Linked DNA regions of Notamacropus eugenii. The protein of the gene in region 2 purifies or fractionates together with the protein of the main gene of each other region. This does not show direct contact. Links are inferred from orthologs where the notes say so. Each region holds a gene or a part of one and is shown on either strand. Other genes may lie near its edges. The genes, in order: MAML1, RBPJ, FHL1 and NOTCH2.

The links.
Region 1: the proteins of RBPJ (region 2) and MAML1 purify together in Homo sapiens (co-immunoprecipitation; 12 studies listed by BioGRID and IntAct, counting the BioPlex papers as one, with this or other methods). This does not show direct contact. The link is inferred for Notamacropus eugenii from reciprocal best matches to the Homo sapiens genes RBPJ and MAML1.
Region 3: the proteins of RBPJ (region 2) and FHL1 purify together in Homo sapiens (affinity purification with western blotting; 4 studies listed by BioGRID and IntAct, with this or other methods). This does not show direct contact. The link is inferred for Notamacropus eugenii from reciprocal best matches to the Homo sapiens genes RBPJ and FHL1.
Region 4: the proteins of RBPJ (region 2) and NOTCH2 purify together in Homo sapiens (affinity purification with mass spectrometry; 3 studies listed by BioGRID and IntAct, counting the BioPlex papers as one, with this or other methods). This does not show direct contact. The link is inferred for Notamacropus eugenii from reciprocal best matches to the Homo sapiens genes RBPJ and NOTCH2.

Annotation. Positions count from the first base shown.
Region 1 is NC_092872.1:416,685,740-416,693,532, forward strand, and holds the start of MAML1 (mastermind-like protein 1), read right to left. Parts: upstream 3,001-7,793; 5' UTR 2,743-3,000; coding exon 2,383-2,742; intron 1-2,382. Other genes in the region: CANX (calnexin), read right to left, coding at 7,744-7,793. UniProt on the Homo sapiens protein: Acts as a transcriptional coactivator for NOTCH proteins. Has been shown to amplify NOTCH-induced transcription of HES1. Enhances phosphorylation and proteolytic turnover of the NOTCH intracellular domain in the nucleus through interaction with CDK8.
Region 2 is NC_092877.1:79,244,041-79,251,919, forward strand, and holds the start of RBPJ (recombining binding protein suppressor of hairless), read left to right. Parts: upstream 1-4,866; 5' UTR 4,867-7,666; coding exon 7,667-7,719; intron 7,720-7,879. UniProt on the Homo sapiens protein: Transcriptional regulator that plays a central role in Notch signaling, a signaling pathway involved in cell-cell communication that regulates a broad spectrum of cell-fate determinations.
Region 3 is NC_092879.1:57,439,872-57,447,513, forward strand, and holds the start of FHL1 (four and a half LIM domains protein 1), read left to right. Parts: upstream 1-4,639; 5' UTR 4,640-4,718; coding exon 4,719-4,740; intron 4,741-7,642.
Region 4 is NC_092873.1:300,122,244-300,129,189, forward strand, and holds the start of NOTCH2 (neurogenic locus notch homolog protein 2), read right to left. Parts: upstream 3,017-6,946; 5' UTR 2,764-3,016; coding exon 2,691-2,763; intron 1-2,690. UniProt on the Homo sapiens protein: Functions as a receptor for membrane-bound ligands Jagged-1 (JAG1), Jagged-2 (JAG2) and Delta-1 (DLL1) to regulate cell-fate determination.

The DNA.
Region 1 (7,793 bases), on a different chromosome or scaffold from region 2:
TAAAACAAGCACTGTATGTTGAGAAAAATCATTTCCAGTGGGCACTGGAGATCATTTATTCAATGAGTACAGTTCTTGCAGAAAAGGAAAATCCTTAACATCAACAAACAGTTAGGAAGTGGTAGTTCAATACAAGGCCCTATGAAAGGATACAAATGGCTTCTGCCCTCAAAATGCTTACAATCTAACTAGGAAGACAAAAGACACACACTGTAAAGACAAGACAGTTACATGATTGGTGGCAATGATTAGAGTAGGACAGATGATAGCTACAGGGACAGAAAGGAGGGAGGGAAAGATCATTGTAGGCTGAAAGGTGAGGGAAGGTTTCAAAAGTTTTTCAAAAGGTGAGGGAAGTGAGCTGAGTTCTGTAGGAGAGTAGGATTTAGAGAGGCAGAAGTGAGGAAAGGGGAATATGGGCAAAGATTGATGTGGGGAACAGGAAAGGCATAAAGGTGGGAGAAGCAGAGTATTTCAGGTTGGCTGGAGGTGGACAGATTGAGATAAGTGGTGGAAACTAAGACTGGAAACATAAGATCTTGGCCAGATTACATTTAAGTCTTGCAGGTAAAAGATTTTGAACATTATCATGTCAGCAAATTTTCTGATGAAATAGGAGGTTTATGCAGATTATTCTGGCTTCAGCGTACAACTGGAATGTAAGGGAGAAATAGGAGGTAGAACGATTGAGCAATTCATCAATCACCTTACTAAGTGCCTAGTAAGTGCCAGGCTCTGGCTATGTTTTGATCCAGGTGTGAAGTGATAAGAACTTGAATCAGGATGAACACATGCCAAATTTGGTCAAGGATTCCTCATTTTATAAACTGTAAGCATACTTTTGAACATTAACAAAACCAATTAAACTTGTATTACAACCACTAATACTTAAATTGGTACTTCCATTTTCCTTCCTTGAAATTACTAAATCATTAAAAACAAACCAACCAACATCCCCTCAAGCCCCAAGAAAATCTTTCCGTGCTTTTTTCTTGTTTTATTTCTTCCTGGGAGGAACTAAAACCCTACATCAACAAAGCTCACCCATGTGACTACACATTACCTTTCACACTAGGGATTCTCACTGTACCTATAAAATGTTCCACTGTCACAACTGCAGTATGGTGGGAATCACATTTTACACAAAGTTTAAAACTGACATCCATTCTAAAAAGTGGAATTATGCTATTAGGATCTTTCCTTGACAACTGCTATAGAACAAAGCCATATGTTAGAATAGTCCAATAGTAGAAAACCCAGTTAAGGAAAAGATCCTAGTAGTGTTTGCTTATACCATACATTTGTCACTTTACCACCATATGGACAAAGTCCCAACAGCCTCCTTTAGAACTGTCCTCTAGCTTCTCAGGAATCTCAAAACTGTGAGAAACATTTTTGTCAAATTCCAAGACTCAAAGGTTTCCTAGCGAGTTTTCCGTGGTGCCGCTGTAAGATTACATTTACAGAACTTGCTTTCACAATATTTCATCCTGTCCTATTCCTGACAAGCCTCCTCGCCTCAGCATCAGGTCCACTAACACCGTTAGGGTCTGGACTCTTTTACAATTCACACCGTGTAGGAGTTACTTATGCTGTGGGCAATCTTTAAGTTAGTATACCGAATTATCGAAAAGAAAACTTCACACAACTACGCTGTCACCAAGTCTACTTCAAAGTCTACCTATGGGAAAACATCCTCAAACGTTGGTCTGGTTTGGATGTAAAAGGACTTCGGTTCCAGCCCCCAAGTCCAAGAACATCGCTTCTGGGACCGTGTCTTCAGCTATAAGACGGCGATAATACTCGCGGTTGGAAAGAAAGTACTCTGGCAACCCTTAGGGAGTTTCTATAAACGTGAACTGTTACCTCCTAAAAACAGGCATGGAATAAAACCATATTGTTCCCCGATCCCGGGGAATGAACGTGCCAAGACCGCCTTTCTGGTGCCTAACCACAGGGAGGGTTAGGAAATCGCGACCTCAGCTGTGGGAGCTGCGCTGGGAGCCAGACACTTGCACCAGGGGCTCGGGGGTGGGGGGGCGCTTCCAGCCGCGGCGCCTCTCTCCCTATCGGGGTCCGCTTCCTCCCAGTCCCGCCCGACTTCACACCCATAGAAGCAGGCAGGGGAAGCCTCCCACTTCTCAAATCAGAACCGGTTTCGTCACTTTCCCTGGGCCCCTGCGGTTCACACCCGCCCCGCGCACTCCGTTCGCCCCGGGACGCACAAAGCGGCGGCACCTTTCCTAGCAGCCTTCCGCGACTCAGGACCAAAAGGCGCCCCAGGAATGCCGCCGCGAGGTGCCCCGGGCTTGGCAGACTGCGGGGCCCCCGAATGGAGCCGGGGGCACCCTCCCGCCGCGCCCCGGGGGCTGGCTCACTCACCGCGATGAGGGCGCTGCTGGAGCGGTTCTGCTCCGCGGCGCTGCCGTCCGAGGCCTCGACGGCTGCGGCAGGGACCGGGGCCGGAGCGGGTGGCGCGGCGGCGGGGGCCGAGGAGGGCGGCGCAGGCTGCCGGTGCTTGCCGGCGCGTTTGGCCTTGGCCTGTAGGCAGCGCTGGTGCAGGGCTAACGTGTGCTGCCGCTCCAACTCCAGGCGTTCGGACAACGCGGCCTCGTAGCGGGCCTCGCAGGTGTTGTGGTGCCGCCGGCACAGTTCGATGCGGCGGCGGAGGCGCTCCATGACCGCGCTGTGCCGCGGGATCGCGAACTCCGCCATGGGGCAGGGGGGCGGCAGCAGCACCATGGGCCGCCGCGGGCGCCGGGCCGCGCCGCCTCCTCCGCTGTCCCACCCGAGCGGCCCGAGCCGGGCCCGGGCCCCTGTGCTTGCTTCCTTCCCCTTCCTTGTCCCGGCGGCGGCAGCTCTCCTTAGAGCACGGCCATAACCCCGAGACCGGCGCCGCGCACGGAGGACGAAGCGGCGGCCCAGCAGGCCCGGGAGCTGAGCGTCTGCTCGGCGGAGGCCGCGATCCCCCGCCTCAGAGCCAGGCCGACCCCCGCGGCCCTAGTTCCATTGTTTTCCGCGCCGCCTCCGCCACCGCCATCTTGAAATTGTTCGGGACGCTTTCGGGAGGAGGCGGGCCCTCCGCCGGCGGCGACGGAGCCTACGTTTGACGTCATGATTTGACGTACAGGCCTTTTACCAACCCGAGAGGAGCAGGAGACATACGCACCTGGAACTACGTGTACGGGGCGGGACCCCGGCTCGGAAAAATAGCGTTTAAAAGGAACTGGAGGGAAGGAAAACGAAGGCAACCAATGAGAGGGCGAAGGTCTGGGACGGAAATAATGTTTAAAAGGAACTGAAGAGAGAAGGAAAACGAAGGCAACCAATGACAAGGCGAGGGTCTGGGACTGGGTAAGGGATGAGACAGGAGGGGGCTGGGCGAGCTGGAAAGTGATTGACATGGTTAGCAGCCAGCCAAGGCAGCCTTTCCTCATCAGGTGTCCAGAGGCGCCCCTGACTTTGCCACCGCCTCAGGCCCTTCTGTCCATGCACTTAGGTGGGTTACGTTAAGAGGAACGCGCGTGCACAAGCTAGCCTTCTGCGGCCTCCCACCCGGGCTTAAAGGTTATTGCCCACTTCCAAGCGTCCACTAAGCCTAGGTTAGCAGTTTGAACTCGGCGTACGGTCCGCGTCCCACCAGGACGCTTCCCGCCGCGCTTTTCCTGGGACTGGAGAGCACCGTTACTCCATACCAAACAGTCCCACGCAAAAACATATCAACAGTATGTCTAGTATTGCTGGGGGCAAACCCAGGAGGAAAAAAAGGAAGCTCACTGAAGTCCTCTGGAACCCTCTCTGTGACCAAGTGAGAGTAGACTAAGGCTAAAAATGCTTGACTTCAGTCATCAAGTTGCAAATGCTGGTAAGTGTGCACTATTCCTTATTAGATGAATAGGCAATGGATATTTTCCAGCCTTTAAAAACCCAAATCAGGTACAGAAAGGGGCGACTGTGAAGAAGTATACACCCTTCACCTATAGGAGCAGACAGGAGATGAGGAATGAATTTATTAAAGCAGAAAATAGCTGCTACTTCTGTGTGGAAACAAAAGGAAATGTCAAATTTTTATAGTTTATGGGTATGAGATTACCTCACATTAAACTGCGAGACAGGTGACATTCCTGTAAAACCGAAAACTTGTTTCTCTGCCTCCAAGGAAGTCTTGGGTCATTAGGCATGCCCCCATTGCTCAGGTCTGGTGCGAATTCGTAAAAAAAAGGGAAAAGCTTTATAGATTTTAATTTTCTTTATTAGAGTAAACTGTTACATTATAACTTATCCAATATATTTATATATGCATATCGCATCTATAATTATCCTTCCACAACAGACACGGGAGTGGTTGCTGAGAGAACAGTTCCTGTTCAGCAGTACAAGGAAACTGCTCCCAGGACTTATGGAGGCAATGCTGGCTTGAGAGACTGTCTGGGCCCAAATCAAGTCAAATAAAATAAAGTCACTGGCTAAGAGCACCCTATTTACTGCCCTAAATGGAGGCATAAGAAAGAAACATACGTTGCATGACCATCACTTTTATCACTAACACCATCCCTATTCACCAACTTTTCTTCCTAAGGTCACCATACATCTTGGGGCAGATTTCCTATTAATCTATTAGAAATGTTCTCCATTTCCTTCATTTAAAGATAAAACCAAATACAAGCCAGTAATAAGAAATCAATTTTGCTGAATCTATATGTACCCCCTTTAGTACAGCAACATAAAAAAATCCTCTATTCGTAGAAAAGCTTCCTTTTGGCATAGTTTTCAGAAATACTCCCAGTATCAGAAACTAAAACTGGAGTTGAATATCTGGTTTGGAGTAGCAATGGTTAATTTTTGAGAAAAATCATCATTGGCCCTCCAAATACTTACCACCTACAAACAAATTAACACTCGAAAATACCTTGAATTCTATCATCTGACCAACAAAACCGAACAAGTATGTTTTTTTGTTTTGCTGTTCACGTTCCCAGCTTCCTTTTCTGAACCTAAATTCCAATTATATAAAAATCAAAACTTTCCTAAGACAGTTCCCAATACTTTTTGTTGAGTCAAGATCTATATTAACTTTCTCACAATATGTTGGAAATTAAGGGGAAGACTGACTTAACACACCCTGTTCCCCTCAAAAATCAAAGTAGTGCACACTGAAGGAGAAAACATGCACAGTGAAGGTAAAGAAGCTTAGTCAAAAGCAGGAGATTAACATGTAGCTTTAATGCAACACCATTTAGTAGCTTGACAAATGAAAAATAGCACTTTTTTTCTGTGAATGGGAAAAACTGAGGAGTACATCTGCTGGACAGGAATTTGCACATTAATGAACCAGACAACTGGAGTATAAAATAATTAAACATTGTTGCCTCTTGTTGAGCTGCTGTGCAAAGTGCTGCTGGTCATCCATGACAAAGCTGTCAGATACTGAAGTAGGAGGCCTCACCTTACACTATGAAGGAAAGGAATGAACCAGGAAGAGCCACTGTTTGTAAAAACACTTGTGTTAAGCAATATGAAGTCTATGGGACAAGTCCTGAAAACTTCCTGGTCACATAGGGTGTGTGAAGTTGCCTGTTTCAAAGAATCAAAATAATGCAGGGTAAGCTTAAGTTTCCATAGCCCAGGCAGAAGAAAAATCACCAAAACTCAACGAGAGGCACACAACATGTTCTGAAGGTACAGTTGGAAGTGCAATGGTCCCATACTTTTGCTTCAAGTAGATACCTGTAAACATGCTTTCAGGCCCTTACTAAACAAAGGTTTATTTGTACTGGACTTCATTGCTACATTTATGGCCACTTTGACCTAGCAAGATAACATGAAAGGAGATAGCATTTAACAGGCAGAAAAAATATTCTCTACTCTACCACCTGTCGCCTCTCAACCTTTAAAGAAAGGTGCCAGTCATGGAGTAGTCTACAAAATAAACTGACATAATTCCTTTTGAGAATTCTAATATCACCTCCTGCTGTTCCCAATAAGAACACTGTGGAGTGTTTACATATTCAGTGCAAGGACAGTGAATCAGTACATTTCAAGCTATTCTAAACAAATAAGAGCTAAAATATCAACATCCAGCTCCCAGTATATTTCAGTAGAGTGTGATGTCATTACAAAGCACTAACTCTTTGGAGTAAAATGCTCAGATAACCCTCACCTGCATTTTAATCCCCCTCCAAAGACTTAAGACCAGCAATACACTAAGCCACTTAGCAAACTTTTTGTTTGAATTGGAATCCCTTACATTCAGTGTACTTTATGATGCAATTGTTACATGAAAAGCAAATAAAAATTTGAACAAATTCAACGGTTACGTATACCAGGTAGCTCATGCTACAAGTCCCAGACAACTCCATCGGCTAGTCAAATCCTTTGAACAATTGCATTCAGTTTGAAATCAAATTTGCATCAGCCTGTCTGTTCTGACCAATATAATCTCTAAAGACATAAATGGAAAAATGAGGGACTATGCTCTATTCTGTATTTGGACACTGAAGACATTTGGGTCTTTTTTTTCTTTTTAACCCTATGTATGTATGTGTGTATATATATGTATGTATATGTATATATATATGTGTGTGTGTATATATATATATATATATATACACACACACACACACATATATATATATATATCACCACTCAAGTTTAACACTGTGCTGAGCATATAATCATTTCCAGCAATGGAGGGCAAGCTGCACTCTGAAGAAACTGCATAGCAGCAGAGAAAAGCCTGGGATGGGGGGAACATTAACAGAGTGGAAGGAGAAATTGTTAAAACCCCACACATACACACACACACACACACCCCCTGACAGCCCCAATGAGTAGTGCTCAAAGTCTAGAGAAACCACATAAGGTTAGAGCCCAGACAACCAGCCTGGGAAGCCTGAATGCCTAAGTACCAATGGTAAGTCTCCCCACCTATTTACTCTCAGTGCCAACTATGGAATACTGGGAACTTAGCAGTAACCAAAGGCAACACAACACGCACATATTGTGGCCTGATTATGCTCCTTCCAACACGGAGTGGAAAAAGAAGGGCCTTTTTTGTAGCTCTGTTTTTAATACAGCTTAATCAAACAGTATCTATTATAGTCTGGAATTCTCCCCCAATCTCAAATCTCCAGAAGAGGAAGAATGAAAGAGTGGGAGAGAGTAATCAATGTTATCCACACAAATGACTTCACTTTAAACATGATTATCAATTTTAAGGGACATAGACACTTCAGTGTTTTGGAATATCGAAGTTTATAAAAAAAAAAAAAACTACGTTATAAAAACTGCAATTCATCACCTAGCATTTTCTAAACTTTGCTTGTTATTTTTCCATGGATAGATTAATACATTAAATTAAGCCAAGGTTCTTGAAGATTGGCAATACTCTAACATTCTATTTTTAAAAGTGTTTTAAAACCAAAAAACAAAACCAAAAAAAAAATAAAATAAAAGAACCCCAACAAGTTAGTTGCTTTATGTTACATCCAGAATCCATAGACCATACATTAAATGCTTTCTTTCTACAGGAATGGTGTTCTTTTTTTTTTTTTTATCACAATTGCAATTAATTACTGCTAGATGCTCAAATTTTCATTGGATAGTAGTTGACTGGAATCTGTTGATAGTGAAGTCTTGAGGTTTTTCTGGGTTTCAACATATAAGGTGTATCCCAGGTCCTCTCCTAGGATCACATCGAGGGTGGGGGAAAAAAGGAATCACAGATCAAGTTCTTAAATTCTTTCAATCTCTTCGTGGCTTTCTGTTTCTGGGTGATCTGTTCAAAACTTCAT
Region 2 (7,879 bases):
TTAAAATCATTTGATTTTGTTCTAGTATTTTTTCCTGCCTCATGGAGTCATTGATTTCTTTTTGGTCTATTCTACTTTCAGGAAGTTCAGTTCTTGACTGAGATTCGCAACTTTTCCACATTACTTTTTATTCTCCTTCCAGTTCTTTCTTCAGGAGCTGTTACTTCATTTTTTAAAAATCCCTTGCTTCATTTAATCAGGTATTCAGAGCATTCTTGGTGAAAAGTACATTTTTTTTTCCTTTGAGCTGCTACTTGCAGCCATTACAGTTACTCCTTTTGGAGGATTCTTTAGCTTTGCAGTAATTTTTTACATTGATCATTGTTTCCTTTGATTTACTCATCTCTACCTTTAGTTCATGAATTAGAGCTTTGTGTAAGGCTTCTCTTCCTGCTGTGCTTTGGTCTTGCCCTGGTTTCCTGTGCAGATTTCTGCCTCCCTAGGTTACCTTACCTCTTCGAGATTTTTGAGATTTAAAGCCCTGGCACCTTGGAAGATGATTCACTGACTCTGGGATTGGATTGTCCAGGTCTGATGGCTTGACTGTGACTGGTGTAACTGTTGCTGTCTACCCCTTCCAGAGTGTCCACATTGGGACTTTTACTGAGGAGCTCTCCATTCTTGATGCACCTGGACACAGAGCCTTGCAGGCTACACATGTCCTTAACCCTTATCTGAGCAAGCTGGAAGGGTACCTAACTAATCTGGTGCCTGCTTTGCTGGTTGTGTCCTTTCCAGTTGTCCTCCGGTTTCTGGTTGGATTCCTTTTTCAGTTCTGATGTGAAGAAGGTACTTCCTATAACTTTTCTTTGGATATCTTGATCATTATTTGCTCTGGTGAGAACTCCACGGGTTTTGTTGGAGCTAGAGCTGGAGTGGGCTGGGTGATCTTCCTCCTTCCTAGTTGTAAATTTCAGTTCAGTTGAATTTCATCTCCCATGCTCCTTTGGGAATTTTATGTGAGTGAATGTTGTGTGGCTATAGACTGAGGTGGCTTTTACTCTCTGGGCAAGTCCTTTGTCTTTCTGGTCTCTTTATTTGCAGTTGAGCTATTTAACCCTTTGTTGAGTTTTGATTAACTTTTCAACTTCTGTCTTCTAGTCTCTGCAGCCTTTTCTGTTTTTTTCTGGGGTCCCACTAATGCACCAGAAGAAAACATCCCCTGTCCTCTTGGAGTTTACCTTCTATTGGAAAACATTCACAAATAAATGTAAAATATATATAGTCATTTTGGGGTACTGGAGCCTGGAAGATCAGAAAAAGTCTCTTTTAAGAACTAGTCTCCATACTTAACTTTGAAGGGAGTTGCTGATTTCTAAGAGGCAAAATATTGAGTTCTCAGGTAGACTTTTTAGTTCCTAGGATTTGGAGCTATAAAATTACCTTAGAAAATCTTTTTATATTAGACATGCTAAATTTGTCACTGTAATTTGGACATTGGTTGAGTATTGAGACTTTTCATGTCTACTAACATCTAAATTATAGTATTTAGACATTAATTCTCTTAACTTTAAAAATAATTTAAGGAAGAGATATAAAAGTGGTCATTAATTATTTTCAGTGTGGTACAGATATTTTAATTAAGTCAACATAGAGAAAGGTTACCCAGTTACCCATTTTCTGTCTTTGGGACTTACAGTAGTGTTATATCAAGATTATATAATTAAATATAATGTGATATTTTACAGTAGATTTTATTTGAAAAGGTGTTTTTTGTTTTTACCAGACAAACCAGGGGTTCTTAACCTAGGGATCCACAAACCACCATCCTTGGATAGATTTCAAGGGGACCTTCTTTATTTTCAATAACCTCTAATTGAACAGCTAGGTGGTGCAGTGGATAAAGTACTGGACCTAGAATCAGGTAAACTCATTTTCCTAAGTTCAAACACTTAACTAGCTGTGTGACTCTGGGCCAGTCATTTAACCTTGTTTGCCTCAGTTTCCTCATCTATAAAATGAGCTGGTGAAGGAAATGAAAAACCACTCCAATATCTGTGCCAAGAAGACCCCAAATGGAGTTATGAAGAGTTGGACACAAATGAAAAATGACTGAACAACAACCGAGATTTAGCATTTTCTTCAATCATGAATTTTTTAAAAAACTACATTATTTTAAGAAAGACACTATAGTATCACTTTCTAAAGAGGTTCATGATACAGAGGCTAAAACACTTTGATTTTAAATATGTTCAGATAAGTACACTTGCACATGAACACACCTCCTACTGCCTAGTGGCTCAATTTTGTAGGTTACATTTAATAAAATTAGGAATATAATGAATGAATAGCTGTCTATAAAATCTTAAATTTCCCTGTAAGTGTACAGGAAATTTGGAATTTCTCAACCATTTTCTCTTTGCCTTTTTTCCAGACTTTAAAAGAAAAAATAAATGTAGTATATCTATTACACTCCTATACATCTGTTTGCCTATATCTATTACCTCAGCTGAGATACACATGAATGAGACTAGTTTCAGCTGATAAAGTACATTTGAGAAATATTCCTGTACTGCTTATGTAAAAGAAAAAATACTGATTTATGAAATCCTACTCATCCTGCAGGATTCAATTTCAAGTGCTACAGTCTCCTTTTTTAAGTATTTCTCCACCCACTTCCCTACCCCTTACCAAAAATCAGAAATGACGTTTTCTTCCTTGGACCTTGCATAACATTTTATGCTTAAGGTTATATTTTATTTAGCATTATAACTTTGTATATTTTATATTAATGCATACTTTGAGTGTGTGTGATTTTCTACTACTCCATGGGGAGGGGTGGGAGGAGGATTAATTATCTTTATATCTTCCCCTGTACCCTCCTGTACTTTGCAATAAGCTTTTAATAAATGTCTGCTTAATGAATACTCTAGCTCTCCTTTAAATATATAATTCTAAAAGTTTTGCTTGGCACTAGAATTGTTTTCTATGGGAAGATGTCTCCATTTTAAAAAATAAAAAAGTCAGTAGTTTCTTATAATTTGGATGTAAAAAGTAGTTTCAAGGACAGTTTGTAAAGCAGTGCCTTTTTTTTTCTGGCTAAAATTTATTTGGTAAAAGGTGATTTAAAAATCAGAATCTCAGGTTGTGGTATCTGATGATAGCAGCCTTGTGTAATATTTAAATTTGTTAGTATTTTATTTTGTGTTGTTTTCTAAGGATTTAGTTTCACTCTCGGAATAATGTTTCCTAACATCTATAAATCTTTTATCCTGTGGTTTTGCCATATTCCCTATCATTTATAAATAGACATAACTTAATACCTTATCTTTTATTATCTACCTAGTCTTTTCTGGTTATTGAAACCCTTACTTTAATGTTCAGTTTCATCAAACTTACCTTGATTAATCAGAGCTGATCCCAGAATATCATTATTTCTTTTATGATAAGTGTGTATATATATATGTATTTGAGTAGCTATTCAGTTTTGTCTCCCTATCTGTAGATCAAATTCCAAGTTCCTTTTTTTAAACATAAAAATAGATGCATAGTAGATTAAAAATAGGAATTACAAGTGAAATCTTTTCTTATTGCCCAACCCCAAAAATGAACCATGAGAAGGAGAAAATTTTTAATGAGGAAAAAAAAAATCATTCTACCAGTCCACATCTTGAAAAATCAAGAAATCAAATTTGAGGAAACCCTTATATAGATTTTGCTATCTCTGAGTTAGAATTAGTATAAAATGCTATAAGAAGACCTTACCAACTGAAATTTTTTCAATTTGTTAGAAAGTGTACAAATTTAAATCAACATGATTTCTGCTATAGGAGCAGATCTGTATTATTTCCTCTTACTAAAAAAAAAAAAATAATAATATTCCTGTGAAGAGAATGCCTTCCTGCAAAAGTTTCATCCAACTTTGGGCCAAATAATTATTCAGAGTCTGACCACTTTGACTGAGTGGTCTGTTCTGTCTTCTTTTATTGATGGAGAACTGAAGCAACAATTGAGGTTTAAGCTACTTGCCCGGGTTCTAAAGTGAGACCAAATTTTTAAAAAATTGCTAGCCCCCAGGAAGCTATGGCAAAGCTTAACTCCTTTACATAGAACAGTATTTGTTTAAAACATAGTTTTTCATATTAGCAACAGCTTATTTATTTTTCTTGATCATGGCAGTTTGTTTAACACAGTTCTCTAGTGCTTTAACATACTAACACTTAAAGTCATTTTTTTTTGTTTTTGTTTTTTTAAAGTTATTGAAATTTTGTATGAGACTGACATTGAAATGGAAGCATTATAGTTCTTCGGAGCCATTATGATCTCCAAAGGAAAGGAGAATGATACACTGGCTGAGGTGTTTTGAGGTGCATCGAAGTGTGCCGAGCCGTGGCTCACCTTAACATGTTCTTGAAGTACCATGGCGTGGATTAAAAGGTATGGCTTGGAAACATCCCAGTGACCCATTGTTCTTAGGTCATTGACAGTGTAAATCCCAGGCTTTGTTAGCAATAATGACTGAGTATTCTAAGGTGCTTTATTTTGTGGATTGTGGATATGGTTTTGAGTCTAGAGTATTAGCATTTTGTATTAAATGTATAACCTGCATGCTATGCTGTAGAAATTCAAGAACTGAATTAAAAATAGCTATAGGAATTATTCAACTGTTAAGTTTTATCTGATTTTTAAAACAGTTAATGGGCAGTAATTTTTTTTTCATCATAAATTCAGAGCAATACTTTAGGTTGTAACTAAATTTTTGATTCAGAGTACAGATTAGTTTTGTTTTTTTTTTTGCTTTGCTTCAGTGCTGTCATTTGAGTCATATATAAGTCTGACTACTCTGGAGGCCAGAACCGTGGTGTATATTTGTTTTTGTTCTACATATTAAAATTTTCACTCAGGAAAATGAGTGATTCATTATTTTTAGTGTGTGTATTGTTTATTCACAAATGTTTGTCTTATTAATCATGATTTATGTGTTTGTGATACTTAGTCTTACTGTTGTTTGTGGTTAACAATAATGTTAATTCTAGGTACATGGTACCCATAACCACTGAAAAATGTTCAGGCTTTTATGTTTCTGTAGTTTTACATGAGTGATGCAATCAAAGCCATTTTGACTCTTTGAAACCTTGGAAAACCCCTGATTTGGTAGTGCATATCTGTTGCCAAAAGCTTTCCTAAAGGTAGTAAGATATGAAACAACTCTGGTTGCTTATAAAGGTTATGCAGGGTACAAAATGTCTTATCTTTTAGTAATAAAGAACAGTGTATGTTGGAGGCAGATAGGAAAGTAATTCATTTCAGTTTGATTTAATAGAAAATCTCAGAATCTCATTAAATCACAGATTTATTGGTGAAATCACCTTATTACAAAATTATTTCGATATTTCAGTAATTAAACATGTTTTGGAGCTATTATTAAATCCAAGACATTCTCTTTTGTAGAAATAGTGTCTTAGATTCTAGAATGTTGTTTTTTAAAATTAATCCACTTGATAATTGTTGGTCATTGATGTATGCACTTGCTGTATCCTTTGCTTTTTGATGATCATGCTACCCAAATTCATGTTTTATGGCAGAAATAATTAAGGATCTTATTTTTTCTTTTTCCAAAAAAGATACCTCTTTAAAGTCTACTTCTTTTCTTCCTGCTTACTATACAGAGCTTTTCAAGGGCTTTGTAGCATTATGACATTTTGGGAAACCAACATAATATCTTCAAATAATTAAGATCTATAAACCTGTAACCGACTTTTTTTCCCTTTCCAACTCTTAAATTTCATACTTTGGCTTTTAATTTCTAGTGAATGATTTTTATTGTTGCTGTGTTATTGTTCCCTCTTGTATGCAAGTAGTGAAAATAAATTTTTATTCAGTTCTGGTGAATCCTTTTCCCATTCATTAATGGAAAGACAGAATATATTCTCCTTGGAGAATTTACTTGGGCAAAAATAAAAACACAAAAAAACTAAGTGAAATCATTTTCTGATTATGTTATGATTAAAAAAAAGAAGCAGAGCATATTTGGAAGCCCATTTCATATTTTTAAAGGATTAGATTTTTCAGGTCATTTTAGAATATTTTCCTCTAAGGTCATGTAAATATTCTGAATTTAGAAGACGGAAATTTCCCTTTATAACACTGTACCTCACTTTTTTTGGCAGGGAGTCAGGGGAGGGTTTATATCTACTTATGAGTTAAATTATTGTTTTGTAGGCTGGTGACATTTAGTGATACCTTTTAAATTATGTCAGTTTTCTTAATGTCCAATGTCCAAGATAGCTTTAAGAAGTAATTAGGACCATCTGAAAAATCCAACTTGATTTTTGCAGGTCTTCTTTTGTTAACTCAAAAAAGTTACGGTTTTGTGAGGGTTTGGTAAGGTTGAATAAGTATTTTTTTTTGCAAAGACTGAAACATTTTTGTGTTTGCCATTAATTTGTCATATTTAAAATGTGTCTTGGATTTTCATAGATCTGTAGCAAGCATTTCCATTTCCTTTTTTAATATAGAAGCTGTGAAGTCCTGCATGTCCGTATAGGATTGTAGGAACAAAGATTTGGAACTGGAAGAATCATTAGAGATAATATTATTTAGTCCAATTCCCTCATTTTATTAAATCATTAGAAGTTAAGTGACACATGCACCTTTTCACAGTAAGTGACAGAACTGGGATTTCAATGAAAATCTACTTGTAAATCCAACACATTTTCCATTGTGCTTCATTGCCAGCAGGAAGGTAGCTAGGTATGATTGTCAGAAGAAATATTTGCAGGGTTCTCTCAATCCAGGGACAAACACACTACTAAAGGTAAACCATGTTGTGTTTTGTATGATTTCATTGGTTTAAGAAACTCTCAGTGAGAAATCTCCTGCCAGCATAAAAGGTCACCTGCTTTGAAACTAAAAGTCTTATAGAGTTGTCAGGGCCACTGAGAGTTTAAGTGACTTGGCCAGGGTCACTCACTCTCCTAGTCTGTATTAGAGGTGGAACTTGAACCCAGGCCTTCCTTAATACAGCTTAAGCTCCTCTGTGGTCCTCTTGTCACTTAATTACACTTAGTAAAGTAGTTAATTTAGAGGAAAAGTGAAAAGTCAATAAATAATTCAGCCATAGATTGAGTAAGGTTTTTATATGCAATATTTTAGCAGTAAAGATAGCTGTCAAACTTTTTTTTAAAAAATCACCTTTTTCTGGTACATGCTTTCTTCATTTGCTTACATTTATTTTTCAGAGACTTCTAAAAACTATAGTTAAGAAAAAGCTACATAGAAGGAAAAAAGAAGAGGAAAACTAACGTGTATGTCTAATTTAGTCTTCAGCTTTAAGGTGGCCACTTCTTTGCAAGGGGAAAATGAAAGGTCTATCCCTTATATTTCTGAATTTTCCTATGCCTCTGGGACTGTAATAATAATTAGCATTTATATAGTGTTATATAGTGCTTCAGGGTTTGCAGAGTACTTTACAAATATCTCATTTTTATCTCCAGAAAAAAAACATTGAGGAAACTGAGGCAGGCAGCTTAAGTGACTTGGCCAGTCACACAGTGAGTGTCCAAGGCTGGAGGGACTCTTGTCTGTCACCTTGTCCTTGCCTCGTCTTATTAAACATCAGCAGTGGCTTCATTCAGCTCTTCGTGTTTGCTGTCAGTAATATACTTCTGATCCTGAGCCTTGTGGTTCTGTTTCTGTCTCTTAATACAGAAGTACAAATGAAGTAATGCCAGTGATGCAGTCAAAAACTTCTTCAGTTATGAGGAGCCAGCATCACTTGTGAGAAACTTCATATTCTTTCATATTTTTTTCTTTTGAAAGTTGATGCCTTCTGAACATATATATATATATATATTTTTTACCATAAAGAGCTGTAGCATTGGCTAAGAATTACTTCCCTTTTTATGTTGCTCTGCCATACTATTGCTTCTGATATATT
Region 3 (7,642 bases), on a different chromosome or scaffold from region 2:
AAGGAGACTGTATGTGGTAGATGTAAATGTTCCAGTAATCAGAAAAACTTTTGCTAAGGCTTTTTCCCTTTGAGAGCGATAGGAAACTGGAGGCTCAGAAGGCTCCTTCCTGCTCCTTTCTCTCTCCTTCACCTTCTTCTCTAGACCCTGTAATTGCCCCTAATAGTTGACTGAGTCTTTGGGAACACAGTAGATTGAAGTGAGATTCACCTATGGTTGAAAAGAAAGGAGGTTCCAGCTAGCCTGAATATTTCATTGTGGGAGGGAAGGTGAGGCAGCAGATTCTGGGACTGAAGAGTAGGAAACTGGGAGTGAAGCTCCAGGTCGGGGGAGATCAGTGACCAGTTGGAAATGAAGAATTTTTACCCTTCCATCTTTCTTCCATTATTTGGTCTTGTTTGGTTTTTACCTTGAAGGACATCAAGCTTGAATGGGATGAATTGGTCCTAATTAAAATGACCAGTTCCTCTTACCTAGAGAGGGAAATCCCAGTTGGACCAGTAGGGCGCAAACACTGGGCTGCTCTTCTGGGATGACCAGTAAGTATTTTTTCAACCCTTGGACCTCGTGTCTCTAAAGGAGAAGGAGAACCAGAAGAACTGTGGAGGTAGGCGCCAAGTAGGCTGCTGAATTCCCTGTGTTTAACTTTTAGGCTTGCATGGTCCTGGATGTTTGGAGTTTGATCCTCCCAGTGGTGTTCGTGAGGTGGCAGACTTTGGAAAGAAGCCCCACAATCGTAGCTGTAATGTGATCTCACTATCTGTCAGGGAGAAGTCAGTTGCATCTTGAGTTCCCCCCTCCCCCTTCTGGGGTGAGGAAGGGCATTGTTTACTGAGGCACCAGACAGCCCTCCTTATAAGTTAGTGGGCAAAGTAGTGAAACAGTAGGATGCTGAGAGTGAGCAAATGTGATTTTCAGGCAAGTTGACACAAGAGTGAACTAAGGGTTCTTTTGGATGTCTAGGATAACTATCTATGAACCATTATAAATTGAGGGGGAAAGTGATTCCAAAATACATCAGGGTGTGAAAAACTGGAGGGATTCCTGGAATACTTCCTTGAAACACCAAGGAACCAGCCTTGCCAATGAAATTAGTGACTGATTCTATGTCATGGGGTTGGCTTAGGGTCTGAATGAGGCTGACGATGCTTCAGATTCTGTCTGACCATGAGAAGCACACAAAGATTTGGACAAACCCACTGTATCGAGGAGAGAAATGTGACTTTTGCCAACTGTCTTCCTGAGGAGTTCACTTATGACAATGCAAGGGCCCCCCCTTCTTGGGAAAGGAGTAGTTTGATAATTGTGCAGATTGGCAGCAGTTGGGGTAGATCAGGTGTTAACATCAAGCAGAGGTCATGAATCATGTCTTTTTCAAAGAACCATAGTTGCCTAATAGGTGTGAATTGCAAGGCCAAGCAAATTCAGTTACTCTGAGGGCAAGCTCCCAACTCCCAGTCTCCTTGGATTTGATCAACTCCCTTGTGGTCAGAGAGTATCAGGCTATCGGGGATACTTTTGGTTTATGGAGCAGCACAGCTTTACTCCTGATGGGTCAATTGAGTGGAGAAGAAAGAGCCTTAAAGTAGCAGTCAGAAGACCTGCTTACTACTTCTGTCTCTGCTAAGGATTTTCTGGCTGTGACCTTGGGAAAGGATAGACTCATAGACTGTGCAAGGACTCACAGACCACACAAAGACTGTGGTGATCATGGAGGCCCACTGTACTCAAAAAGGCTCTTTCTACCATATCCTTGACTCTTAGTCATTTAATCTCTCGAGAGATTGAATGCCTGTTTCACTTGGGGATGATTCTCATCATCAGGAAGTTTTTCTTTGTGTTGATCTGTAATTGGCCACTTGCCAACTTCTACCCAGTGTTCTTCCTTAATCTTCTGAGATCAAGTCACTGCCCCCTTTTTCCTGACTCTGGCATTCCATGTTATATAAATTTCATGCAGGTTTAAATCTAGTTTTCCTCCATTTCTCCCTTCATTTTCCTTACCCTCCTTGATGCACTTTTAAAAAAATGCATCTAGTGCTTAAAGAAGGTGCTTTATTTCCTAAAGGAAAATCCTTCTGATTCACAGCTAAAATGGAAAATTGGCTCCTACATGAAAAGATTTTCGGCATCTTAGAGTTCAGAACATCAGAGGGGCATCTTGAAAGCTGTTGGTTACACACAAAGATGTGTCTTGCTGAGAGCTAAAACTAAGCTCTTGAAAGACTAATTTTCCAATTTATAGAAGACTCAAAGCAGAGAAGTAGATAATTGACATAGCAGATGAAAGAACCAGGTTCCCAAGGGATCCCATGGGCTGAATCAAATAAGGTGCAATTCAAGAGGGGTTGATGTTAAGTTCTACCTTGGGGTTCAAAAAGTCAACTTTCTAAGTATAAGATGGGAGAGGCTAGACAACAATTTGTATGCAAAAGCAAGTTCCAAATGAAGGGCTCCCCAGAAGACTGATGCAGTTTGAGGTTACAGTACCCATGGTAAGAAAGAGGGTCTTTTCTACTCTGTCTTGGTCCAACCACTTATGGAGTGGCATGGTCAGTTCCAGATACTTCAGTTTAAGGAGGACATTGACAAGTCAGAATAGCCAGAATGGCAGGTAGAATAGTGGAGGACCTTGAGTCCACATCATATGAGAACTGATTGAAGGAACTGGAGATGTTGGGCACAGACAAACAAAGACTTGGGGGAGACATGGTGGCTCTTTTCAAGTACTTGCAAAGCTGTTGTTGAGTAGAAAAGGGCTTATTTTGTTCTGTTTGGCCTCAGTGGGCAACAGGTAGAAATTGTAAGGCTGGATGTTAGGAAAACATTCTTTCAAATTAGAGCTATCCCAAAGTGGAAGGGGCTGCCTCGGGAGGTGGTGGGTCCCCTCTCCGTAGTGGTTCCCATGTGGAGGTAGAAGATCACTTGGTAGCTATGTTGAAGTACTGGTTGGTTTTTCAGGTATGGCCTCTGAGGTCCCTTCTGAATGGGAGATGACGGGATTTTCTGTGGAGGAGGGCTTAGAGAAGCTGGATACAAGGAGACTAGTCAGGACACCTAGTTAGGAGCTCAGTGAGACCTGAACTGGGGTATGGCCATGGAACTAGAGAGAAGAGGACACTCGTGAGAGATGTAGACAAGACTTGATGACCAATTGGATATGGGGGCTCTAAGGAATCTTTTACTTTTGACTCCTTTCACTCTGATAAAGTTCCAATTGTTATTTGTCTTAAATTTAGCTTTCAGGTGTCAAAGAATTCATTTGTTCCTTCATTTGTTTATTCATTCATTTGACTAACATTTGTTAAGCAACTACTATGTGCTAATGACCAAACTTGGCACCGAGAAGAGGCAAGAACATGAACCTGTCTCTTTCCTTTGTGAAGGTGGGGTCCTATGGGGGTTGTACATTGGATATTCTGTTAGACTGTTGATGGCTTTGTTTGTTTTGCTAAACCAGTTTTTCCCCACTTTCTTCTTTATGTTTTGTTACAAAGAAATGGTTCTCTGAGTAGGAAAGGGGAGAGGGATATATTTAGAAGCAAGGGTGTTGTAAAGACAAAAGAAATTCATTTTTAAAACTAATATATATATATATATATATATATGTATATATGATGCAGTTGAGGGAGATAGAAAAATAAATGACCTCAAGGAGCTAATAGTCTAATAGATAGTTCCCCATTCTGGTATTCCAGGATTTGATGAGCAAGAGCACATTCATCATACCTGTTGTGTGACTCGATGATTTTGTAGCATTCAGCCAACTTTTGGTTTTCCCAGCTCATCTTTCTCGTCTGCCTTTGGCCCCTTGACCACTGTATTGTCCTTCTTTTGAACTCCCTCCAGTTCTGACCACAAGAGTACCAAGCCTTCCACATGTACATGCAATGGTCTTAATAGGAGAGGAGGAGAACGGTTTCTGCTTTGGTTCCAAGTCATGGCCTCAATTTTGGGGTGACTTTAGGGGAAAAAATTTCTAATAGTCCATGGAGCTGATATTTTCACCAGTAGAGTTTCGTTTTGCTTGTTTGGGACCCAAGATGTCTGTGTTGTACCCGTAGCATATGTTTCTTTTGGTTATCTGCTTTAAAGGACTCTTGAGGAGTTGGGCATTTTCCATAAATGGAGTTTTTTCCATATCGGGCTGTTCTTCCTGTGCTTCTGGTATCTATAGTAGGCAGGCTATAAGTTTAAAAATGCATCTATAATCTCTACAATTCTACTGTTTAAATCCCACTGTTTTATTGTACTAACTATAGTTGAGTTTATATACTGTAATTATTTTCAACAGAAATAGTATTATTTCTGTGGAGTAGAGCTGAACACTTGGGATCTATAAAGCAAATTAATAAGACTGACTTAGCAATGCCCAGGCCATGGCCAAATGTTGCTCCAGGAGAGGGATGGCTTTCTCTGTAGCCACTCCCGACTTTGGAGCTAATTTGGATGCTGAGTCGTTCCCCAGGTATTTATATGCAGTGTTTGGTATTTTTACTGGATCCTATTCTTCTCCCTGGGATCACCTAAAATGGTAAGAATTTTCTAGTGGGATTAAGGTTGTGATCTCTTGGGAGGGGTGGGGACATCTGCTCTTAGTTATTTTTGTATTAATAGCCTCCCCCTTAAATGTATGTTATCAAATGAGCCATATTCTTATCAGCTGAGATAGTGGTAGCAGTGACCTGGGCAGTGCTGGGGAAGTTGCTCTCCAAGGCATGGCTTCCCAGAAACACTCGGGTAAGGAGAGTCTGGGGTGCTCTTTGATAAGATTTTCTGACAACAATGATTTACATCGGCAAATGAACTTGACTGGGAAAAATGGGGGGATTCAACAATTTTAGGCTTGTAGATTTCGTCGTTGATATTGCCTGCCTTTAGGGAATGGTTAGCATGCAGGCAGAGGTGGTATGCTGAGTGATATGGACAGAAAGAGAAGAGGTTTTATTTCATCTTTTTGTTCCCAGGGCTTGGATGCAGGAGGCAGTTCAGAAATACTTGTTGAATCAATGAATTTCAAACATGCAAACGTGGTAATAGATTTTTGCATTCATTCTAATCAAAAGATGTAGACAACTTGTAAAGCCAGAGGGTAAGGACTTGGACAATGCTGGTTAGTTTGGTTTTTGTTTAGAGTAAGTTTGCCATCTAGTTCCAGGTGTATTTTTACTTTTGTTAAAACTTCTTATTCCTTTTGACTTTGCTGAAGGGGTCTGGAAGGTGGAGTTGGGGGGAGGAGGGAAGGGATGGAAGTCCGATGGAGGCAGAGTGCTCATGGAGTGATTGAGGGGCCCTGGTTTGAAGTCAGCCTGCTGCATCTTCCCTTCCAGGATGAATCTTTTGGGAAGACACAGCCCCTCTGTGTCCCCTCTTTTTTACCCAAAAGCAACTTTTTCTCTGAGAGCCAGAGGTCCAAGAATTAGAGGGAAAGGAAGAACCACTTTGATGAGGCAGCTGTTTTGCCAGGTTTTACATTGCTATCCAATAGCTAGTTAAATAAGATAGGATGCTACGGAATATTCTTTGGCTGGTTTTTCCCATACTAACACTATCCTAGCTCCTTTTACAGGCTTTAATAGTTAATGCTTCCCTCATTCCTAGGTGCATGAAAGCAACACCTTTCCTTACAAAGGAGCCACTCTTCCGACCTCAGGACTACATGCTTGAGATTGTGTTAATCATCTAATATACACAGTGTTTGGGTGTGGAGAAATTATTCAGCTCTGACTTGCCCTGGTACACCTTGGCTGTTTGGTAACTGGTAGAGGAACATTTGATTTCATTTATTAATTAAATAGCTGAGTTATTAAATGTTAGAGTTGATTTAAAAGGTGACACATTTCCAGGCATAGCTTCATTTTGGGTTATAAATTATACCAGGTCCCCAGGTGTGATTGTGGCTTCTATAAATCCAGAAGGGGGTAAGTACAGCTTGAAAGGGCCATTCATTATTGGAGTAAATTGGATCAACTTGTATTCAACTCCCCTGTGAAATTAGGGGGGAAAACCTATTTCAGGAAATAGAATTCCAGCTTTGTACTAGGAAAATAAATCCAGAAACTTGATAGAATGGGAGAGAGAGGATGCAGTGTGACCCTAAAGTGTAGGTGTGGTCTACATGGAACAACTGCCTAATTTTGCTAGTGGCTTTTGTGTGTCTGTGCTTAAAATAGACCCTTGAGGGTAGATAAGAACATGGTTCCCTCCCGTGTTTTATGAACAACAGATTCAATAGCTGTTCTACCTCCTCCACTTGAGCTTTGACAGGCAAGTCATAGGGCCAAAGGAAGCAATGTCCCTAGTGACCCGCCCGCCCATGTACAGTTAGTTACTTATGGCATTCACACTGCCATCAAATAGCTTTAAAGAGCTGTCCAGGGCTGACACTTGGTGGAGTTAATGGAGTTGATAAAGGCCAAACCAAAATGTTTCAGGCATTTGACTCCCGGATAGGTCTCTGCCCGTCCCTAATACTGTCTCTAATAAGTAATTTAGCTGAGCATCGCAATTGTCTGCATACCTTTTCTTCTCTGACAGGCCCAGCTCTTCTTTCCTCTGAAATACACCCCCCACCCCAAACAACCACAACCACAATGCATTTAGTGAGAGGGTTTTTTAATGCTTTGTTTGAGAAGCTTCATTCACAGGACCCTTGACCTTGGAGCTGGAAAGGGACCTTGTGGAGCCTAGTCTGACTCTCCTCAGATAACAGGTGAGGAAACTGAGGTCCCAAGAGAGGAAGTGAATTGGCTAGAACAATAAAGACATATGGGTTTTAAGTGTCTGTTGGGCCCAGAACAGTAAGCTTGATAGGTGTTAGGGGAGAGAAAATTTAGATTAGACACAGTCCTCAGAACTATTAATACCAAAGACAACTCGGCAAAATCATGAAGTAGGTAAACTTAGTCTGTTCTCTGTCCTAACTTAACAAAGAACACACATTTATCAAGTTCCTAAAAGCCCCCAATGGGGCCTGATGAGTCGGATGTGACTGAACAAGTGTATATGTCTTGCTAGGTTGGTACTAGGGAGATGTCAATGACTTATGAGCTTGTGGAGGTGATCAGACACGTTCCCTGAGAAATGAGTCCCCTGCCAGTTCCTTTACTAGTGTGTTAGGGCCTCTTCCGAGGCCTGTTCTTGCTCTGGATCCTTTGGTTTCTCCTAAACAATTCAAGGGCATTAATGATTAATAAAGGCTTAGGATGTGCCCCTTCCCCAGTCTCTTTGTGTCTTAAACAGGGATTCTTTTGAAATGACACCCTGAGCGTGGCTGATATTGTAGAAGTTAGCTTAACGTGAATCCTTTCCATTTCAAAATGTCATTTTCTGCTTTCCACATCCAGAGAAAGAACTATGGAGGCTGAATGCACATCCAAGCATACTATTTTTCATTTTGATTTTTTTTGGTGGCTTTTCCCTTTTCTGTTTCTTCTCTCATATATGACAAATATGAAAATATGTTTACATGATTGCACATGTATGACCTCTATCAGATTGCTTGCTGTCTTTGGGGGAAAGGGAAGGAGAAAAAATTTGAAACTCAATATCTTATAAAAAAATGAAAGTTGAAAACTATCTTTACATGTAATTGGAAAAGATAAAATACTATTTCCCGCCCCCTCCTCCCATTATCAGCATC
Region 4 (6,946 bases), on a different chromosome or scaffold from region 2:
CACAGAGACAAAGCAGGGAGAGGACAAAGGTCACCTCCTGAATCGAGCACTCAGTCAGTCAACAAACATTTATTAAATGCTTCCATTCACTGTGCTAAGCACTAGGGATACAAAGAAAGGCAAAAGACAGACCCTGCACTCAAAGAGATCAGTCTAATGAAGGAGACAATATACAGGCAATATACAGAATAAATTGGAAACAATCAACCTAGGGAGGGCAGTACAGTGGGTTAAAATTAATGCCACTTCTTGAGAAAAGTCAGTCAAGAATGTCTCCCTGTACCCTACCTTCCTACCTCGAATGTCATAAAAAAGAGAAAGGAGAGCAGTGCAAAGGAAAAAAAAAGAGGCAAAAAATTATGCTCTTTTGTTTTATTGTGCCTTTTGTCATAGTATTCAAATAAATTGACAAGAGTATGACATTTTCAAAAGATATTTGTAAGACAAAAGTCAAGGAGGGGATTCTATAGAAATTCACCAGATCAAGGTGAATTATCAAATTGGTAGCAAGATCTGAAAAGTACCTACCAACTGCAGGGAAAGGAGATCCTGGGATATAGGTGTGGTCACAGACGGCTGTTCGCAGAACCAGAAGAATAGGGCTGACAGATCTCGGCTGGAGAACTCAATGATGTGTAAATTACATCCTGGCCACAAGCCCAATACAAGAGATTCAAAGGGTCAGAAGGCGTGTTCTAATTGGTACCTTGGGAGAACCCAAGTGATAAAAGATGGAGATTTTCAGAAAAGAGTTCACAGTTATTAATTTGGTGTAATTCAGGATAGTCACTAAAAAGTAGGGTTTACCCTCCCTTGGGCAGTCAAGTATACAGCATAGAAAACTGAGGATTCTATTTACTAGTTTAACGCTCAGATTCTCCACTTGTAAGACAGGGATGCCAATACCTGCCACCTGCACAGCTAGGGAGACACAAATCAGTGTTGGAGGATCCTTAAACGAGAAACGTCCCCTCTTCACAGAAAGGAATTCTATTTTCTTCTTATTTTGCACAATTTTGTACTGTGTCTTTTAATCTCATCTATTAGTTCTGCCCCAATGAGTCTGGAAAGTTTTATTTATTTCCCATCTTTTTTTTTTTAAACAACAAGGAAACTGAGGGTCAGAGAGATTAGTTAACTTGCCAAAACAAACTAAGAGAATGAGTGAGGATTACAACTCCCTAGACTCAAGCGTCCATCTGATCTTACTAATTTTGCCACCTCCACCCACCCCAATCACACATTACATCATTTCTTTCATTTTAAGGAGAAGAAAGGGGCTTAGACAACTTGAAATGTTTCTCCATGCTTTTCACTGACGCTACTACATCAGAAAGTATAATCACGGTTCTTTCTACACATATCTTTGGTTCACCTCTGATATCCTTGGGCAGGTGCATTTGCACCAGAAAATGCCTACGTCTACGTTTTCAGGTGGAAGGATACCTCTACTCTCTTAAAAAAAAAAACAAAAAAACAAAAAAAAAACCTAGTGTGCATTTTTTAACATCTCCTGGTATTCAAAATTGAGAATAGACAAAAATCACCTCAAAGCTGAATACCTTTACTTTAAAAGTAAGAACAGTTCTCGTTTGTGGTTTTAGTAAAATTCTTCCTGGAAAAGACAGTTTCATTATTTAGATTCCTTCCCCCCCCCCCCCCCACTTTTTTTTTCTTTAGCAAAATGACCTTCAAATGCGTTCAGAGACAGGTTTTTATAACTCTTAGAAGACATCCTAATTAAGGCACTTTGAGAATAAGTGTTACCCCTCCCACTCAACCCACTCTCTACAGGGGGCGGGTGAGATCACTGAAGAGAAGCCCAATACTGCCTCCAAGTTGAAGTAGACGGTCAATGTCACATAGCAGTTCTTACAAGTTGCACCCCCGCCCGCGCCCGCCCCCGCCCCCGCCGGGTTCCCAAAGATAAATGCGGGGATCTGTGTCTTTGAGGGAATGACAGCCATCGAAATTTTAATTGCTTTAGTAGGCAGCCACATGAGTTTTTTCCCTCTTCTGCCACAATGCAGGCAATGCCCACGAGACTCCCGAGATACCCAGGCAGAAGGGAGACTGTCAGAAATCCAAGGCGGGCTGCCCAGCACACAGTCAGGGCTTAATAAACTTCTGTCCGACTGGGCTGGGCTCGGTGGACCCTGCCCCTTCACCCAGAGCCCAGGCTGGGGCTCTGATCTAACATTCCCGGACAGGGAAGGTAAGATCGGCTCGGTCCGAGGGCGACCTCCCCCCACGAGGGCGTCTGGCATTCCAGGAGCCAGAAGCGCTAGGGGCGTGCGGCTCGCAGCCTGCTGAACTGTAACCCTTTGTTAGGCTAGGCAGGGCCCGAGGTCAGCTCGGCTCTCGCCCAGTCCTCGGCGGCCGAGCCTCCAGCGGCCCCCTCCCACCCCTGCTCGGGCCGGGGAAGAGGAGGGGGCGTGCGGCTCCCCTCCCCCGCCCATCTCTGAGGAGAAGGAACTGAAGACGTCCGGAGCTTTCCTTAATCAAAGTGCTTCACTCCCAGGGAAAGCTGCAGAGAGTCCGGCAAGCCCAGAGCCCCCCACCTTTCCCCGTGCCCCGGCGCGGAAGGCGGAGAGTAACTGCGGGTGGCCCGGGAAGGGAAAGGAAAAGGGTGGACCCCGGAGTGACCGGGGGGCGGAGAGAGCCCACTTCGGCCACCTGGAGATACTCACCTAGGGTGGGCGCGCCCTGGCACAGCCAGAGAACTAGCAGCAGGCAGAGCGGGGCAGGACTCAGGGCGGGCATCTTCTCGGTCAACTCCTCCTCCTCCACCCAAGCGGATCCACATGGGGCGGGGGGGTCCCTGCTGGGGAGCCCCCCCACTGTCTAGCTTCAGCCGCGGCGCTAGGACCTTAGTGCGGGGGCCCCAGATCGCCCCGCGCCCCGGGATTCGCGCAGCACCAGCTCCAGCTCCAGACACCGCCGCCTCCCGGAGTTTGGCAGAAAGTTTCTGCTTCTCTCAGCCTCGTGTGTCCTTCCGCCTCGGCCCTCCTCCCCCTGGGGAAAGCCCCGCCCTCCTACTCCCCGGCTCTCCTCCCCGGCTCTCCTCCTCCTCTTCCTCCTTCTCCTCCTCGCCTCCCCAGCAGCAGCAGCCGCCGCCTTCCGTACCCCGGGGTTTCCCGCACGAAAAAGTTCCGGCACGATTTCCCCGCGGAGGGATCTACTACGATTCCCTCCCGCTCCCCCCCCCCACCCCCCATTCCTTCTAGTCGCGGGTCGGGGCCGGAGACTCTGGTTTAACCCTGTCGATGCTGGAGATCTCGCCAGCGTGGGCAGGAGCGCGTGCTGATGGAGAAGAGGTCGGGGAGCCCGAGCCTAGAGCATTGGGCTCTACAGGGAGGTCCGGTGTGATGGGAAGAAATTTGGGTTAGAATCAGAAGACCTAGGCCCTCTCACTGGGTGACCTTGGGAAGGTCCTAGCACCTTCGATTTACAGCTGGAAGAGACGGGAGCAGCCTCTACCTTCACCTTTATGATGGAGAAGAATGATGACATGACTTGCACTTGACTTTGATTTGAGTGAGGGAGGGCTGTGCAAGGTCACTAGCCTCACTTTCTCCTTCTGAGACGTCTGGTTCCAGTGACCAGATATTCATCAGGGCGATGGCCCAGGATGCAATGGGAGACCTTGGCCTTTTTAGGCCTTTACCTTTAGGCTACACTGCAGTGGACAGAGCTGGATTGGGGTTCAAATCCCCACTATTCTGATCATTACTTGGGCAACTCTGGGCAAGTCATTTAATCTTTCTTGGCCTCAGTTTCCTCATGTGTAAAAAAGAAAATAGGTACTCCACTTTTACTTGTGTGACTATGGCCATGTCATTTATGAGCCTCTATTAGCCTCAGGTTGAGTCTGAGTCATTGTTGTTTGAGTCATTTTCAGTCATGTCCGACTCTTTCTGACCCCATTTAGGGTTTTCTTGGCAAAGATAATGGAATGGTTTGGCACTTCCTTCTTCAGCTCATTTCATAGATGAGGAAACTGAGGCAAATGGGGTAATTGACTTGCCTAGGGTCACACAACTAGTAAGTATTGGATTTGAACTCAGGTCTTCCCACCTATAAGCCCTGAGCTATTATCCACTGCACCACCTAGCTGCCTGGATCTCAGTTTCCTCATCTATAAAAGGAGGGAGTTGGAACTTTAAGATCTTTCCTAGGTTAAATCCCTATTATATATATATGTATACATATATATGTGTGTATATATATATGTATATGTATACATAATGCTGCCCTTCTACCCAAAGGTTATACATCAGTGTCATGAAGGAGGACCATGGTTAAGGAGAAATTTGGGGAACAGGAAGCAGAACAGGGTAGAGGCAGCTTACCATTCTTTAAACAAATATTTATTGAGTTTTTCAACTCAGAGGGTTGTTATACTTCTAAGCCCCTACCAGAGGTGAGCTGGTAAATGTTTAACAAACTGCTCTCCAAAAATTTTTTTAAAGTACATACCCATGACACACTTTTAAATTTAATCTGCATTATTAACATTTTCTCCATCACTTTCTAAAGTCTAGATGATCAACAAAATAATAAATCAAGTCCTGATTGTTTTGCTGATTTCTGAGGTACAAATATCCAAGCTCTAGCACATCCTTGTCACCATATAACCTACTTACAGTCTAGTTGCCAACACTGACACTCACCGAAAAGTCAAGTAACAATACAAGACGTGATAAGTGCAAGATGATAGGAGCAGAGGTGCCCAGAGAAGGGAGAATCACTGTGGGCTGAGTCAATAACATAAACTGCAAGTAGGACTTGATGTGGTCCTTGAAAATGGGAAGTATCTGAAGAAGAAAACAGGTATTCTAGATAGGGGACACGCAAACAAACATGCAAAGAAAGGAAGCAGAATGCTTGTGCCTAGAAAAGTGGTAAGAATGAGCCTGGAAAGAGATAGGAGTCAGATGATGAAATGCCAGTTTAAAATTTAGCTTGTTAACAATGGGAGGCCACTGAAGGATTTTGAGCCCAAAAGTGGCACAAAACTACAGAAGAGTAGATAATAATCTTACTGAAGAGAAAACTGAGTCATAAAGTGGTTAAATGATTTGTCCTTCTATGACATCACTAGTACATGGAAAAACAGACACATTTCAATTCATCAAATTTCAATTCATCAAATACCCCTACTATGTTCAGAGCACTGTGCTAGGTACTGGTAGAGAAACATTTTTTTAACTACAATATGGAATGGCCTAGTGGGGAAATAGGAAATACAACTTGCTATAATATAAAAATTATAGCTCACATTTATATATTAATTTACAATTTAGAGTGCTTTGCCCCCACAAAAATCCCTTTTCTTCTTTTTTTTAAACTGGGTATATGTGTATCTGGACTTATTATTTCATTGGAGAACTCCAGATGTGGGAACTATACATTCAAAATTATGGAGCAGTTCTCGCAACTGGTCTGTATAATTTGTAACTTTAGAGACTTGCTTGGGGTTTGAAGAAATTAAGCGGCTTGCCCATAATCACACAGCTAGTCTGTGTCAGAATTAAGGCTTGAACCCAGATCTTCCCAATTCTAAAACTAGCCTCTAACCACTATACCCAGCCACAAATACCATTGGCCCATTTTGCAGATTAGGAAACTAAGAATTGGGGGAGGGAGGGATATGATTTACCATGGTCACAAAGCTGGTGAGTGGCATGGCTAAGACTTGAATCCAGGTCTAGCAGCCAAAAAGAGCTAATAAAATCCTGAAGTACATCAGGAGAATCATAATTACTAGCAGCTGGGAACTGATAGGCCTGTTGTATTCTGCCATAATCAGGCCTCATCTGGAGACATATTCTGTCAATGGTTGACATTGATAACATTGGTAAAAAATTACCAAAGAAGGGCAACCAGCATGGTGGAAGGTCTTGAGTCTGGGTTATATGAGTTTTCATTGATGGTATTGGGCATGCAGAGTATGCAGAAAAGATGAATCAAGGTGAATAGAACATCTTCACATACTCAAAGGTTTTCATTTGGAGGAGGGATTCTATTTGTTCTGTTTGGTCTTAGAGGGTAGAACCAAATCCAATGGGTAGAAGTAAAAAAAGGTAAACTTGGGCTTGATGTCAGGAAAAAAGAGCTATTCAAAAGTAGAATGGGATGCCTTAAGAGAGAATGGGTTCCTCTTACCTGGAGGTCCTTAAGCAGAGGCTAAATAACTGCAAGTTGGGTATTTTGTAGTGTGGCTTCTTTTCATGGCCAGGTTGAACTTTCTAGTTATGCCACTGAGTTCTTCTCCAAGTCTTACATTCCATGATTTTGTCCTTTGACTCCAGATCAGTATTCCTTCCACTACCATGATACCTCACAGTGCATTATCTGGAAAGTGAGGTCAACCAGCTGGTGGTGTGTAGAACAGATTGGAGTAGGTAGAGACTGAAGACAAGGGAATATTTACCATAATCTTCATGTGAGATAATGAGTCCCTTAAAGGAGGATAATAGAAAGGAGCAGATGGATGTGAGAGACACTGCAGTTGGTAATTGGGGGGACACACACTTGCCAATGTCTTAGTCTCGTTAATTTGCATTAAGTGTTGGTAAAAATTGTCCATATGTCATTAATGTCATTACAATCCATGAGTTTTAGCAGCTTTATATGGTTAGGACCAAAGTTTTATAAATTCACCTATGGGAGATTTGGTTCTAGAAAACGGATTCACTCCAGCCTATCTCCCTGAAGAGTCAATGATCAAACCAGAATGACAATTTACTAATTTTATGCTGAAAAAGAGAATTAGAAATTAGACTAAAATATTTAATGTTGAGAGGAGAGCACATGTACTTCCTGGTAGGAAAGTCTCCTTAGGAGTAGGGTCAGAAAGTTGCTTAGTAGGCCCAGGATTCATAAAGCTCCACAGCCAGAATATGATGCATAGCCACATTCATTATATTTTAGTTTGGTAAAA